2 linked regions of the Drosophila melanogaster genome follow. The protein of the gene in region 1 interacts with the protein of each later gene in a pairwise test. Each region holds a gene or a part of one and is shown on either strand. Other genes may lie near its edges.

Region 1 (8,657 bases):
AACGGCCGAGCGCGACGACTTTAGAATCTCAACTGAATTCTCGAGTTAAAAACACAATACCGCCATAATAATCTCCCGCTGAATTGATCGGATAACCCATGGTTCAGCATCCTGATAAACCTGCTGTGCCAGTGACGTTCCATCCATGACTGGAGGCCCTAATCAAGGCCACGTTTTAGGGTCACAGCACGTTTCTTATCTGGGTTCGGAGGCGTGGCAAGTAGTAAAATTAGTTAGCAGCTACGTAGGTCAAAAAACAATTTAATCTGAGCAAATTTTTAGTTTCAATAAAGATGCGGTTTAACAGATGCTTCTTGCTAATATGTTGTGGTTTCAATTAATCCATTCATATAAATAGATTTATTAAACTCTTGCTTTTCTTTTAAAAGCACTTAAAGAAAACGTAAATTCTATAGATTAAACAAAGTGTTGCCTACATATATGTACATATATTTTCGAGTATTTTCATTTCCCGCAGAAAATTTGAAAAGTCAAAATCGTTCTCGGAACTTAAAACTCCCCACATAAGCAATGAAATTTTGGACCCATACTCAAATGCCAACCATCGCGGCGACCCCAAACAGGATACGCAGTTGAACCCCAGGATTATAATCTCTTCCGATCTGCCATTAATGCCTATCTCCAAATGCACTGCGAGATCGAATACCAGGTGGTGCCATCTGGAGCCGGAGTCTTGGCACGCTTCGCACTCGCCCGTCGCACATCCTTACGGCACAACATCCCCACTCCAACGCCCGTAGTGAACCGGATAAACCGAGCGTTTCATTTTGAATTTTCCCGCAGACCGACGGAGGAACACTGTGTGGCCAATGTGGTGGCAGCCAGAAGGCAAACAACCGAGAAAGAGACCGCCGATCGCACCATGTGTCCGGATTCCTCCGCCAATTGGGACTGTTTGCGGAGCAGGCACGCCCACCAGAGGTGCCAGAAATAGACGGAATCTGGAGAGCTGCAAACTGCGGAGCAGAATGCTCAAAAAGGAGGATCTCCCCGTAACCCGTGACAGAAGTGCTCTACGTGCCACGCAGATCGGACGTATTCGACTCACAGATTGGTTTCGGTTCGGTGCGTTTCGATTTTAAGTGAGAAAACTGAGTGATTGGAATTTTATATCCAATTTGAAAATATTCGAAGTGATTCTTGTGATACCACCAACTTGTTTTTGAACAATGCCACGCAAGAAGCGCAGTTCCAGCCCCACGGAGTTCTTTGATGACGACTTCGATGAGGATGCCAGTTCTCAAAGTGAGTTCGATTTCAATTTATAGGTGATTTTGTACTTATATTAAAAAGATGTATTATAAACGCTTAAAAACGTTGACAATGTAAATATGTTTAGCTAGTTTTGTAAATTTATTATTTACTTTAAAGTAAAATTCAATTTCCTTAGAATTTTTTAAATCGAACTTTAGAATTTACCTTAAAAGGAATGTTAATTTAAAATGCGTTAAGCTCTAAATGAAAATATAATAATAATGATAAAAATTATAATAACAGAAAGCACAATAGATATAAATTGAGTTTAAAATTCATACTCCATATGCTTTTTGAACTTCATACTTTGCGAAGATATCTATAATGTAACTTAAAACTTTTGTGGATACCAATAAAACCTTTTGTTTCTAATTAATCTCTTGTTATTGGAGCTCCTTAAGATGTATCTACATTTCTGATTTTCCAGGCTCCCAACCGCCGGTGCAGCGAAATGCGGCAAATGCCCGGGAGCGGATGCGTATGCGGGTTTTATCCAGCGCCTACGGACGTTTGAAGACCAAGCTGCCCAACATTCCGCCGGACACGAAGCTCTCCAAGTTGGACACGTTGCGTTTGGCCACGCTCTACATCAAGCAGCTAATTACGGCTGTGGAGACAGGCAGCCACTCGCAGAACCACCCGCACAACCACAACCAGCACCACAGCCTCAACCACAGTCACTCGAGTACCACCAGTTCCGAAGGCCTGGACACAAGTCACATGGCAGATTCGTCCGGTGGAGGCAATTATAATTTCCACAACAACGGACACGGCATGGTAAGTGTCATGCAATTGCGATCCCCCTGCCCGAATATAAGTGATGTCACTGCCACCACTTAACGATGCACTGCACCCGCGGCTCGGGGGAACGGGAACGCATTAATGAGCCGGCCACTTCAGGTGGATCTCGTCAGTTAATGACAGGTGTCGCAGGGGATGCCCAGTGATATGCCCAAGATCAATGTTTATTCATGGATTTCAGTCTAATTGAGAAGTAATGTTCAGCCGATCGGGATTCCCATAAGTTTATGTCTTTTTATGGAAAGTTTGGTATTGGGAATGAAAATTTTTCTTTTATGCGTTTTCTTTGAAAAGCCATTAAGGAAATAAAGTAGGTAGATATTTGTAAATTTTGCTAGTTGAAATTAGCCTTTCGTAGAATTTTAACTTAGAGATCGTGGAAAGTTACACGGAAACCCAGGCTTCAGTGTTTAAAATTTAAAAAATTGATACTATTACAATTTAAACGTATACGCAATCTATTATTCTCATTTTTTTTTTAACAAGCAACTTAAGTATTTAGTAATACTACTCAACTTATAGGGGTAATTCAACGCAATTTTAGCGAAATATAGATCAAAAATCCAAAGGAATGTGGTGCAACATCTGCTTGGTGATGCGGACGCGATGCGGCGACAAGTATTTCCACCTTTTCTAGATGTGGAGGTGAACCACAAACGTAACCACATCCACATCCCATGACCGGAGTCAGCCATTCAGCCGGGCCCCCCACTAGAACACCGAAATCACATTTTGTGATTTCAGACTGCCTTGCTTTCCTGTAATCCGATACTTTTGTGAATTTCGAAAATATTAAATATGAGTGACAGGCTGTTGGTGGAGCGGGCAGGGAACGGAGATGGTAACGCAGACCTGCGGATCTGGATGGGGGGCACTAGTTAGTCTTTGCTTTTATTTTTTATTTTTAAAGATGCTCTTGATGCTTTGAAGCGACACAGTGAATGACATGCGAGGGAAAGTGTCATCCTCAGTAGTTTTCCCACTCGGATTATTGTAATTAAAATTTGTCTAACCGTGTTTATCCATCAGCCATTCCCGCTGGAGTTTACACAATCTATCACTCAAGATTCATGGCGTGCACAACTTATCTAAATAGATGCAATTGTTTACACACCGAATGCGTGAAAAATTCAGCAAATACGGCTCCGTCTTGTGCCCATATGGTGGCAAATCAGATCGGATCGGAGAGTCCCGACCCTATCCGAATTTATACCATCCACGCGCCCAAGATGATCTGTTGGGAACAACCCATTGGTTCGCTATTTGCTCGCTAGCCCTAGCATCCCTATATCCCATTTCCAATCCCTCATTGTATGGCATACAAATGAGTGTCTCTTGTCCGCAAGTGTTTGGCTGTTTATGTTTTTATAGATCCGTTAATGAGGCTGTTATTGTAGATCTAGACGTGGAGGCGGGGGTGGGCACTAAAAACAATCAAAGTTGCGTAAACAAACAATGGCGCTGTCTCGGGATGGGTTGTCGTCATATTGTTCCATATATAGCCCCTGCGGTTTCCACAACTCCTATGATTTATGCCTGTTTTATCCACACATTCCACATTATACTGTCTTGCAGAGCTGGCCCTTTGAGTTCCACCAGAGTAGCCGGAGTTTGGCATTTGCCCCATCATCATCAACCACCTCATCCGCCCGTATGGATTGGCAAACCCTGCATACGCAATCTTATCCGAAGACTACGCGAGGCGAAACCCATGTTTCGGCGGATCTAAGTTACCATCAGTTGCCGGAATCTCACAGTCACTGGTATCCGGCGGAAGTGCATCAAATGGAGCCAGCGGCCAGCTGTTCCTATGACTCTGGAATGGGGCAGCATCAGCGGGGCATAGCTATAGCCACTAGCCATGCCCATGGCATTTAAGCGGATATTATAAATAATGTTCTGACCTAAGCCAAATGAATTTACCACCTAGTAAGTGTATTAAATCGTGATTTAATTTTACGTGTTTCCGTATGTGCAAGCCTGAACCTATGCTATAAGGCCAAAGATTGGTGTTACCTCATGATCATTTAGCTAGCAAATATATCTATGTTTTTAATAAAATTGGAATTTTTGAATTTTTTTGAATTGGCGCCAAGATTATGGTGACTGTATCCCTGGAGTTGTCGAGTGCTGCCGTACTTGTTTGTATTTTGCAGCCCTGTTCAACAGCTGATTTCGTCACAATACAAACAAAGAGCTGCTAAAAACAAAATTAATCTATTAATTAAGGCGGAATTCAAATACCCTACTTTTTTTAAAACGGCTAATTTGAGACATTTTAAAGATGTTATTTATGCAGAAAGATGTAGTGAATTTGCATTATTCACTTGCAAACAAATTATACGAACAAAGAAGCTTATGAAAGCAATCTTATTTAAATTAGAAACAAACTGAAAGAAAACGCCCAAGTACTTTTTACATGCAGTGTATTTATTTTGTGTATTTACTCATAAATGTAGCCCAACAACAATGGCGTGAGAATAATGGTTGTGCTACAGACTATTTCAACACAAAAGCGAACTTATTACATGTGTATTTTCGCGGTTAAAGTTCACGTCGTTCGAGAGCTGGCATCGATGATTAGATTCGGAATAGCTGGATCAGATCAGCAGTCCATAATCTCAATCTCCTCCACTGGATTTCCTCCACCAGCACTTGAGTGACCGACTGACTGACCACTGAGCGCAATTCGCCTTTCCAGCAACAATCAGTCAGTACGCGATATTCAACGAAGACGGACGCTTTGCGGTGGCTCGTTAATCCATAACCTGTTTACGTGACTTGAATACTGTGCCGCATAGCAAAATGCCAGCCAAACCAGTGAATCCCGATCTCCAGAAGGAACGCAGCACGGCCACCTTCAATCCCCGGGAGTTCTCCGTTCTGTGGGCCGGCGGCGAGGAGCGATTCAAGGAGAAGAAGGCCCTGGGTGAGTTAGCTTAGAAGGGAAAAACACCGGATTTCAAGCTTCTCCGGTGACCCCGACAGACCTACATGTACATTCACATTAACCGGTCGCTCAGAGCTTTATCTGAGCTTGGCGCAATCGCGTTTCCCAACAGTGGATGCAAGAAATTGTGCCAAAAGCATGACTTGGCAATTAAGCTAGGCTTTAACGCATTTATAGCTAATCTGTAGGGTACAAACTCTGATGCTAGCCATGTCAGCCACTGATAAATTATCCAAAACATCCTGTCAACTTCTTTGTTTTGATACGCTTCTTCTCCGTCCATTCATTCATGCGATTTGTTGATTTTGCTGCACGCCGTGGCCCAAAGTTCATTAATTATGTATTCCGCATAAACAAGCCGCTACTAGTTAATCAGCACCTATTAGCCAGCTCATAAGTTATTAATCTTTGAACTTCGCGCGAATCGCGATCAATCCGACTACTTGTGTACTTTGAATGTTTGCAGCTACCCACCATCTATTTCCAGGTCCACTTGAAATTAGTTTAGCTGATAGGTTTATCTGACAGATTTGCACGGTCGCTCAGGGCATCATAAATGGACAATGCCCAGTAACTCCCGCGAATTAACGAAGAATACTTTCCACTCATGATTACGCTGCAAAATTCAACAATGCTTATCTAAATGACACCTCCTAAAATATTAAATCCCTTTCCTTATGGCTTCATTTACATTAAATTTCGTTTATGATTTTTCCAGAGAAATTGTTTTTGGAGGATCCAGCCCTTCAGGACGACTTGCCCATTTCCTATTTGTCACACAAGGAGCTCTATGAGCACAGCTTGCGCAAAGCCTGCATCATAGGAGAGAAGATCCGCAAGCTACGTGCTGATGGCGAGGATGGAGTGGATACTTACAAGTAAAGAAATCCTTATATTTAATGTACTTCAGGTTGTAATTTGTGTGCTTATAGTGCTCTGCTTGGTGGATCCTTGGGATCGGCTATTCTAAAGGAGGGCAATCCGCTTGCGCTGCACTACGTGATGTTCGTGCCCACCATCATGGGCCAGGGAACGATGGATCAGCAGGTGGAATGGCTGAGCAAGGCCTGGGACTGTGAAATCATTGGCACCTATGCCCAAACGGAACTGGGACACGGAACCTTCCTGCGCGGTCTGGAGACCAGGGCTGACTACGATGCCAGCACCCAGGAGTTTGTTATAAACACTCCATCACTCAGTGCATACAAGTGGTGGCCCGGTGGATGTGAGTTTTCTTGAACACTTAATATTTTGAAATTGTTATAAAATCTGGGACTTGCAGTGGGACACACTGCTAACCATGCGGTTGTGGTGGCACAACTCTACACCAAGGGCGAGTTCCGTGGTCTGGCTCCTTTTATTGTCCAATTGAGGGATTCCGATACTCACCGTCCCATGCCCGGCATCGACATTGGAGATATTGGTACCAAGCTGGGCATGAAGGGTGTCAACAATGGCTATTTGGGACTGAAGAACGTACGGGTGCCTTTAAACAACATGCTGATGAAGAACCAGCAAGTGCTGCCCGATGGCACATATGTGGCGCCGAAGAATAGCGTGCTTACCTACGGAACTATGGTACTATTACACATATTCACTATATCTTCACAGAGATTTTAACCATTTTTTCATTCAAGATGTTTGTGCGTTGTGCTCTTATCCGTGATACCGCTCAGAGCCTGGCAAAGGCATCCACTATTGCCACTAGGTATTCAGCTGTTCGCCGACAGAGTCCCATTGATCCCAATCAACCGGAGCCCCAAATCATGGACCATACCACGCAGCAGTTGAAGTTGTTCCCCCAGATAGCTAAAGCCATCGTTTTCAAAACGACGGGTGATGGCATCTGGAATATGTACAACGTGATATCTGGCGAGATTGAGCAGGGTAACTTGGATCGCCTGCCCGAAATGCATGCATTGTCCTGCTGCCTTAAGGCCATCTGTAGTGCCGATGCCGCCGCCGGCGTGGAAACGTGTCGTCTGTCATGTGGCGGACATGGCTACATGGACTGCTCCAACTTCCCCACGATATACGGCATGACCACGGCCGTTTGCACCTATGAGGGCGAGAACACAGTGATGCTGCTGCAGACTGCTCGCTATTTGGTGAAGGTTTATGGGCAGGCCTTGAATGGAGAGAAGCTGGTGCCAACGGTTTCGTACATCAGTGATGCAATAAACCAAACCAAGTTTGTTAACTTTGACGGATCATTGAGGTCTATTGTCAAGGCTTTCCAATTCGTTGCCGCCAAGTAAGTATTTACTAAAGAAAAAAAGGTAGAAGTACCAAGTATTTAAATTCATATTTTTATATCAGCAAAACCCGAATTGCCTATGAGCAGATTGAACTGCGCCGCAAGCAAGGTTATGGTACCGAGGTGGCAGCTAATCTATGTGGCACCTTCCTAACAGCAGCTGCAGATGTAAGTCGTAATGAAATATCTGTTATTCACTCAGTATCCTATATAATTTTGTACCACTTGTAGCTTCATGGACGCGCCTTCCTAGCGCAGACTGCCTATACGGAGCTTTTGGCCTTGTCGCGCGAGGTGTCCCCAGAACTAGCTGAAGTCCTAAAGGTGGTGCTGGAGCTGTATCTGGTAGACGCCTGCCTCAACCGCATTGGCGACTTCTTGCGGGTACGATTTTAAATTGATATTAGTTAAGAATATTTAATGTTATATGTAACTTTCAACAGTTCATTGATCTCACTGATCAAGATGTCACGAAACTGGAGGTTCGCCTGGAGAACTGCTTAAAACGATTCCGGCCGAATGCCGTCAGCTTGGTGGACAGCTTTGATCTTCACGATCGCGTGCTAGATTCCGCATTGGGTGCCTATGATGGAAATGTTTACGAACACATCTTCGAGTCTACGAAGAAGAACCCGTTGAACAAGGAGCCAGTCAACGGAGCATTCCACAAGTACTTGAAGCCATTCATGAAGGCTCACCTCTAGATTCATATCCTATTGCTCTGGAAGATTTTCACAAGTGTTATTATTGTAAATATACATTTGTTTCCATTGTTTTTGTATTATACAACTGTCTGCTTAGCAAATGGTCTTTAAGACAATTATGATGTCAGGGCTTGTGCAGTTGAAACTAGGCTGTAAAATTATACACAAATAAAATATTCAACTATATTTAAAGGCAGTATTTAGTGTGTGTTTGGGCTTAACTAAATCGCTTTATTAAAGTTTGTTTTCTGATGGTGTTGCAAGATAGAGAGTAGCTCACTTATTGACTTCGTACAATGATGAACGCACTTACGACGCACTTGCCTTCGAGTTACGTTGTGCGTAAAGACGTCTCAGTAATCGGTTGCCAGCCAGGAATGTGAATACTGCGATGGGAATCAGCAGGCGCAGTGTCTGGAACATGTTAAGCTGCAGCCAGAACACGAAGAACAGCACCAGAATGCCACCGAAACCCAGATGAAACCCGATCGTACTCGGTGCCAGCGTCAGGTTAGATACATTGATGCCCAGTTTTCCCCAAAAAACGAAAAGCAGCACAAGCGGGGTTATGCACAGTCCGGTGAAGATATCAGAAACAATGCGGGGCGGGCGCTTATCGGGCACTCGGAACTGATGGATGATTTCGGGCAGGGGACCAGAAGTGTTCTTA
Region 2 (7,876 bases), on another chromosome or scaffold:
GAGGCGTACTATTCGAGTATTGAGGATTGGGGATTGGCTTTTTGCCGTTGCAGGCAGGTTCACAAGATTGAAGATTCATTGCTTCTCTGACAAGGCCGGTAGCCCAAAGTGGATAAGGGGAATGCAGTTAAAAATGATCAAGATTAGCGCTTGATGGAAAGTCAAGGTGAGCCGGGTTTGAAAAGTTCTTAGATAGTCTTCGGCTTAAAAGCTTTTCAACAAGAAACCCATGGATTGTTAGATGTAAAGTGGTGTATTCAGAGTTCAAATGTATCTTTAGCCAAGCAAACAGCGCGGTAAATCTTTATAAATGAATATGGTTGCTTTAATTGATCTTTCAGCCATTTCTACAGCATCAGAAAAAGTTTTCACTCGAAAAAATCACTGTACATAACCATTTCAAACTCATAAATTAAGCAACGTCCGTTAATGTAATCAAAACTGTTTTGGCAACCGATCTCCACCGAATTTTGCGCACTTGACACCTGAAGTGTCGTCACCTGTCACACGAGCAGACCTTTCACGGAAACCCAGACATTTACAGCTGTCAATTGATTATACAATTTACCAGTAAAGTTACCAGTTAATGGTTTCTATCGAAAATTTTATTAACATTGACCGCAGTCAAAGTTGCAATTTCACACGATTCGGGGAGTGAAAGAGAGTATAAGAGTATACACCCACCTGAGCAGACTAATTGCAGGTGGGCCCAAAAGCGAGTTGGCGTTTTGGCCAAAGAAATTTCGTTGTGGTGCTGATTTATGCTCGAGTGTTTTGGCAACAGGCCGAAGACTTTCAAAACGATTTATTTGGCTTTTGCAAATCATTTTCCAAATTGAAATTGGGTTAATTGAGCTTGACTTTGAACAGTTAAAAGGGTAGAGGCATTTTTGTGTGTAGGCCGCAGTTTCAGAGAAATGTGGATAGAATACTGAGAGACGGAGAGTTTCGGAATCGATCTGTGTGAAGTCGTAGAAATGCAATTTGTGGTTTCAAAGCGTCTTGAATGAAAGCCCCATTCAGGCTCAACGCTTGAGTAGTTTGGTCTGAAGATGCTGGAAACGGGGAGAGATAATGGCTTTAAAATGGTAATGCTGATACTCTCAGGTAAATAAGTGGGCAAGTGGATCAATTCTAAGTCTTCTCAATTCATCCGCAGATGCAGAGAACTGTTAGAGTGTTAGATGTCAACTTTCCACATGATCGATGAACCATCAGGAGTGGCTTAAGAATATTCCAAACGAAGTCCGCTAATCAAAGAACTATCACAATAGAACCAAAGATTTTCACTTCATTAGGTGCGTCTTTGTCCCGGCAAAAGCCATACAACTCCATGCTGTCGCCGAAGGTAAGCCACATTTTCAACCGAAAAACACAAGACCCAGTGGAAAGACTAAAAACACACAATGAACTGATGAGACACCTGCCGTAGTCCGAGCCGTTAGCAGTTGGCCACTGCCACACAATGGACCCAAGTCGAAGTCGAGCTGGAAGTGGAAGTGGAGGTATCTGGTATGCAACCTGTAGATATGCGCTTTATAATTGCATGAACCGCTGCACCAACTGACCCACTTCGGCACCACACTGTACACCATACACCATATAGACTATACTCGTACTCGTACTATAGAACCCCAATCTTGGGCACCCGCAGTCCGGCAATAATGAAGCTTGTTCTGCGGCTTCTGTGGGCCCCCAAAATAAAAAGACAGAAAATAGAAAAATGAATAGGGTAAATTAGTTTAAAACAAATGTAAGCCCGCATGAACGAACGAGTTAAGGCGATAATTTATGCAATTGCCTCGAGTCTTTGAACTTTTCAAACGAAACCAAAAACCCAGCAAGCTATTCTTGTTTGCTTTGGCACCTTTGGGAAAATTGAAAATTAATAGTCAAAAAGTTCAGCTTTTCAGCATGGATTCGCTGCTCCAGAAGATCTCAGAGCTGTTTCATAACTTTACTTCCCCCATTGCAGCGGTGGTATACAGTCCTAAGAATGTAGAGAATGCACAAGAAACCCAAACCACTGCAAACCAAATACCAGAAGCTTCGAGCCAGGAAACTGGGAAGCCGGACTCTGATCGAACTGCACCTGATACCACTGAACCCCTAACCTCTGGTGATATTCCAACCCCAGATGTCAAGTTGCAAAAGTTTAGGGAACAAACGGCTCCAGCTTTAAACTACGAGCTAGAGTTTGTTGACTTCGTAGATCGCAACGCACCTCAGGGTCTATCGAAGAAGATAATTGATATATTGCCCTATCTGGAGGTCAGCTTTTTGTCCTGGCCAGCGTTTTGGATTTGGCGCGGCTACAACTGGCAGTCCGCACGAAAAACGGAGAGAATCGCATTTTACATTCAAAGGGTTTGAAATATAGCAGTCTACCCCGTGCAGTCTAACCTATTGAAAACTATTCATTTCAGACCTATCAACAGGCCAAGCTAATGCAGTTGGCTATCTTAGCCACTGGTCTGTTCACGATATCAATGGGTCGACCTGCCGGCATACCAATAGAAATGCATACAGTGCACAATAATCAGGAAGAAACAGCTGACATCGGAGACTCCTCTTAGTTCAGGTAAGCCTTGATATATGTTTCTGTCCAAACTTTACACACACACACAATACACAACTTTCGGTCGAAAATTAAACCTTTCCAAGATGGGCATCCAAAATTATTACGGCAATCTGAAGGAGAAGTTCTCGACGAGGCTTAAGCGAAAGGAGGAGGAACCAGCCAAGGCAATAGCCCACCCACCTCGGATGCATAATCTTGGCGAGGAGATACGTTTACTGGTGCATTCGCAATCCTTTGAAAAGGCCTACAGTACTGCAGCACCATTTCTTTTCGCCAGTTTGGGGGCGTGGCCGGGCTATTGGCTGTTCAGAGGAATGGATTACCATGTTCATCGATCGCACATTCCATTGCCCATCTATATAAGACAGGTGAGTCGTTTGTTGCTTCGGTTTGCTATAAGCTTTTATCTAAACACATTATCATCTTAGACCTACTATCAAGCCAAAGTGGTGCAACTTTTCATTATCATGGCCGGCACATATACCGTTTTCAGAAACGCCAGTCGCTTGCGTTTGATGAATGCAAATAGAGTGGCGAAGTCTTCTTGAAAGCCTTCAAAAATCATGCAATTGGATGTCCAAGAACCAGCGTCTTACAAATTTCGGAAACAGACCATCGGAAAGTTGAACTTTTAATTTAACAAACACAAAATATAAACACAAAAATATATTTTATATTCATTTCCTACAAAGTTGAGTCTGTTGATGCAGCCGATTCTCCGGAATCATCACTTTCCTTATCTTCATCATCTTGAATCTCCTCTCTAATGGTTCGAATTACATGTGCTAGTGCTCCACCACAGACACCATTGTCCACCAGTTCGATGCAGATTTTAAGGGCTTCCTTGCTGAGACCAGAGTCCACTACATCCGATAAGGTTTGCAGGATAGTGAAGCGATCGTCGGATTTATGTTGTGTCGGTTGTTCTGACATACTTATTCCACAAATTTTGATATAAACTCGGAATAAATCTCTAAATAATTTAGGGCAATGCTGACAGATAACTCAAAAGCAATCGATTGAATGTATATCATTTACAAATGATTAATGGTTATGTCAAAATATTTGAGTTCCCTTCATAATCTCAGGCCTGCACATTTGTTCTGCTAACCCGAACCCCGATGCCTAACCGTAATCCATTACCAGCTGTAAATCGTAACACCGTTTCAAGTTCAAAGTTCAGTAATGAGGCACCTGCTCCAGTGAACCCCCCCCCATTTGCTCGACATCCGATCTGCCCGCTGCCAAGTGGAAAGATAAATTAGCTACAAATTAAACAAATTATATACGCCAGAGATGCGTGCCTCTCACAGTCATTTCAAACGGAGGGGAGAATTGTAAATGCTGAAAATCTCAGCTGGCGGACAATTAAAAAACGCTTAAATGAAGATCTTTTTCAGTCGGCAAGTGCAGTGCCGCCAGCATGTGATAAGTAAGAGCAAACACTTAATCGTGAGAGGGGGATCCATTGTATCGCTTGGCCTCACCTGTATGAGATACATTTTCCGCTTTTTTTTTCGACGCTCCACGCAACGAATGCTAATTATGCAGCATCTGATGTTGTGATGATGAAGTGGTTACTGTCTTGCTCTACTTGGAATGCAGCCTCACTTTGTATATATGTTTTATGGGTCTGGTGCAATTGCGATCAATTGGAAACCGAAAAGAAGACAATCTCGGGATTTTTTCACTTAATGAAAATCAATTGAAAAACGTTTTCGCTGCGAAAATGTAGAACTTCACTTGGTAGCGAAGCAATTTGCAGCTTTAACTGAGGCGTTCAAACTAAAACAGTTGGCCGTGTCTTATTGTACAGTTTTATATAGTCGGGCTATATAAACGCAATTAGTCAGCAGCACGTAAACACAAACTTAATGCTTGTCTTGTGGTAGTTATTATTCGACCGATCGAAGGGGGTAGTACATAAACTTTTCAGAGGGTGTTTCCCAGCTTAACACACTTTGCTTGCTATGGCAATAGGTTTGCAAATGCCTTTACAAGGTGTTCACACCGCACAAAATCGATCAAACAAATAATTTCAAACACGATTGGCCAGCTCAATGTATGGGAACTTGAGCGGTCTATTGGTATTTCGAGGTTTCTCTTCGCTGTTTGTTTATACTTTATTTATTTACACAAATATGTACAGTTCGTGGATTTAGGTTTAGTGCGTGGTTTAGTGCATATTTTAGTGTATTTATCATTTGAATATTATTTTAAATTATTATTCGTTAACGCGTTTGAATGACCATCGTGTCTGTGAGTTGAGCGCGAACTGAATTGAAATTCCGCTGGGCTGTAGCTGCAAAGCAGCTTGTGGATTGTATCTTATGGATTCCATGCAACCTCATCATGAGGTTCGCTTCGAACATGTTTGGAAATATCTTTGATAACCAACGGATCAAACAGGTTGCGGACGATTGGGAATGTTCGAATATGTTCCCAAGATTCCCCGGGGCTGCACTTGAAATCGCTTCGACATTTCTTGATGTCACAACTTCGGAATTTGGATTATTCTGGGGATGGAGGCGCCCACTAGGAATTTAGTTAATTTGTTGATTATTCCGAGCACCATGGATGGGGCAGAAATTGGGCTTAATGAATGCTAAATGGTTTTAATGGGTGAAAAGACTAAGGGATGAATAGCATGGGGCGAACATACGTGAGTTGGTCATGGGATAGAAGTGGATCATTCGTACTTTTATGATAGTAAATAAAACTAAATATATAGTGTCAGGCACCCTTTGGAAAACCAAGATTGGCTAGCCAAACCTAAAACCTCATAACTATTCATCTCTCCACACCCAGGCGCATATCTCAGCTTGTGGAACGCATTGCAACAGGTTCGCTGGGCATTAAAAATAAAAGCTGCAGAAATCCGTAAGGCGAAACAAAAACGAGACCATAATAATAATTAATACCAATCGGCCGAGAAACCCACCGAACTCCGCCAAAGGAGAGAAGTGCGTAAGTGAAATGAAGAAAAACAGGAAATTTTTCGCAGCAAAAGTTGCGAAATATTTCATAACCTGCCAGCGAGAGATGACAAAACTGCAGATGGATCTGCATGAAGAAATTTCACTCAAATATCATGGCGAAAGGAGTGTGGTGTCTTGGCCAATAATCGTTCACCCTTGAAATCGGCTTGAAAAGCAGCATTCAATTTGCAAAAAAAATGAAAATGAAAAGGAAACTTGCGGCCAATTTCATTGGCCATGCCCGCCCGATTCTCTGGCATCTTGTGGCACAAATGTGTGGCACCGTGATAAATGCACCGAATAAGACGGGAGAAATAAAATCAAAATGAGCTAAGACAAAAAACCTGCAATCAGCAAACGAAAGTGAAACAAAAGCGTCGACGAGCGAGCAAGAGAGACAGGGAAAAGACATTGGGAACGCTCAGCGAAAAACTTGCAATTTCCATTTTAAATACGCAACAACTTTCGGCTAGAGGCAGGCAGCCACAGCCACAAGGAGTCCACCTCGTTGTACTCCCCGCCCCTCATGCAGCTGCTCAAAAAACCATAAAGGAAGGGGCGGGAGGCAATGGAACTTAGGACCAGATCCAGACTTACACTTAGAGAAAGTGGCACGAATAAGTGTAGTAAATTCAAATATCTTAGTTATTAAGAACGAGCTACATAATAATATACATATTTCCAAAGATTTTACTATGTAACACATCGTTTTTTGCGTGTATCCATGAACACAGAAACGACTTGGGCCGCAAACTCCTTGACTCGGCGATTTGTTGTCTGTGGATCGTCTGGCTCTTGATTGGAGCTGCCCTCCAGGAAGCGGACGAGGAGGAGCAGGAGCAGGAGCAGGCGAGGTAGAAGGAGCTTGTGAAGCCGTAGGAGTCTGGGCGGATTGGCGCTCTTTTGTTGGGTATGTCATCAGCATAAATTTCGCCTCGCATTCATCATAATTTTCATGCATTTAATTTGTATCATAAATTGTCTGCTTTAGACTCCTAGAGTCTGACACTGAGATTGCAAAGGGCCATAAATGCTGAGTTATGAAATCTTCAATTAGTTCTGAGGGTCGGCAGAGCTTTGCTTATGCCAAGTTCCCAGCAAGTTCAACGAACGACTGGCATTTTCACTTTCACTTAAAGCAGCAGGGAAATGGGAAATGGGAAATGCAGGTTCAATGGTCACGCACTTGGCAAAACAGCAGCCGCAGCAGCAGCAACATAAGCTAATTGACATCCCTAGCCGGTGTCTGATTACCCAGCAGATTTTGCAAATGAGCCGGACAAACATTGGTACAAACAATCCCATACACTTGAGATACAACGAAATGCATTCGCCAGATACAAAGGTACTGCGATGCAAAGATACAAAGACACAAATTCACTCGACGCACGTTTGAATGCTGTGCAACACGACGATCAATAAACAACAAAAGACTGGCAGACTGTCTGGGCCGAGATGGCCGGGATGGGATCGTTGTTGGTCAGGTTAAAGATCGTTAGGCGCGACAAGGGGTCAGGTAGCAGTGGTGGTGAAGGAGATATGTTCGTATGATGGCCACGATAATCAAGGAGTGGAGTGTATCTCCGTTCAGTTCATTTTCCACTTATTTCGCTAGCCGCCTGACCAAATGAGCCAATAACTTCATTGGTGAGCATAATTATGGGCTGCATTGATTGGAAAATCCATTATGCGCCTCGCTTTTCAGACTGCACATGCTAATGGCTCCCTTTTTACGAGCCACTTCCTCGCAGGAACCGGGGATTACGCAACTCCTCCCCCGGGGGGGAAGTCCTAAGTAAACAAATCAACTCCGTTTTTTATTGACTTACGCAATGATTTCCTTTAACTGCCTATGGCCCAAAAACGATAGCAGTAAAACTTACCTGCGCGGAAAGGAAGAGCACAGACAGATGGCATTAGTCATATGTATACGAGGTGTACATGATATGCGTGGAAATGATTAAGCAATTTCCGTTGACATGCCATTTTCCAAATGGACCAGCCGAGAGTGAGAGTGCGGCGATAGCGAAATATATACGTATCTGCAACTGCAATCGCTCATAAATCAAGTTTGCTCCATCGAGACTTACGTTCATTCGGTTTATGGCGACAGATTTTGTGGCCAACCAAATGCAGTTAATGGTCAGGAATGTGGCGAAATGTGGCGAAAGGGAACTGCCGATATAATAGAGAGTTTCGGTTTCGTGCCGTATTTGACTGGTGTTTAAGCGAAATGATTAGGAAACCCGCTCACTAACAATTTTGCTCTAGATACTTGGGTAATTATACAATAGTAATCAGTAGTATACATAAATTG

Evidence for each region. The genes of interacting proteins can lie anywhere in the genome.
Region 2: the proteins of ACOX1 (region 1) and Svil interact in a two-hybrid assay, tested with the Drosophila melanogaster proteins (one large-scale study listed by BioGRID).

What each region holds. Positions count from the first base shown.
Region 1 is NT_033778.4:17,756,385-17,765,041, forward strand, and holds ACOX1 (acyl-CoA oxidase 1), read left to right. Parts: upstream 1-4,555; 5' UTR 4,556-4,881; coding exon 4,882-5,005; intron 5,006-5,744; coding exon 5,745-5,904; intron 5,905-5,958; coding exon 5,959-6,251; intron 6,252-6,308; coding exon 6,309-6,604; intron 6,605-6,663; coding exon 6,664-7,280; intron 7,281-7,345; coding exon 7,346-7,451; intron 7,452-7,514; coding exon 7,515-7,667; intron 7,668-7,726; coding exon 7,727-7,987; 3' UTR 7,988-8,157; downstream 8,158-8,657. Other genes in the region: HLH54F, read left to right, coding at 1,191-1,266, 1,703-2,052, 3,652-3,954; OstDelta (oligosaccharide transferase delta subunit), read right to left, coding at 8,297-8,657. UniProt on the Drosophila melanogaster protein: Catalyzes the desaturation of acyl-CoAs to 2-trans-enoyl-CoAs. First enzyme of the fatty acid beta-oxidation pathway.
Region 2 is NT_037436.4:2,384,974-2,392,849, reverse strand, and holds the start of Svil (supervillin), read right to left. Parts: upstream 4,859-7,876; 5' UTR 4,084-4,858; coding exon 4,069-4,083; intron 3,586-4,068; exon of another isoform or gene 3,515-3,585; coding exon of another isoform or gene 3,266-3,514; exon of another isoform or gene 3,130-3,265; coding exon of another isoform or gene 3,010-3,129; intron 2,950-3,009; coding exon of another isoform or gene 2,665-2,949; exon of another isoform or gene 2,616-2,664; intron 2,582-2,615; exon of another isoform or gene 2,577-2,581; coding exon of another isoform or gene 2,427-2,576; intron 2,368-2,426; coding exon of another isoform or gene 1,915-2,367; exon of another isoform or gene 1,861-1,914; intron 1-1,860. Other genes in the region: CG32298 (uncharacterized protein), read left to right, coding at 1,915-2,367, 2,427-2,576; CG32299 (uncharacterized protein), read left to right, coding at 2,665-2,949, 3,010-3,129; Mzt1 (mitotic spindle organizing protein 1), read right to left, coding at 3,266-3,514.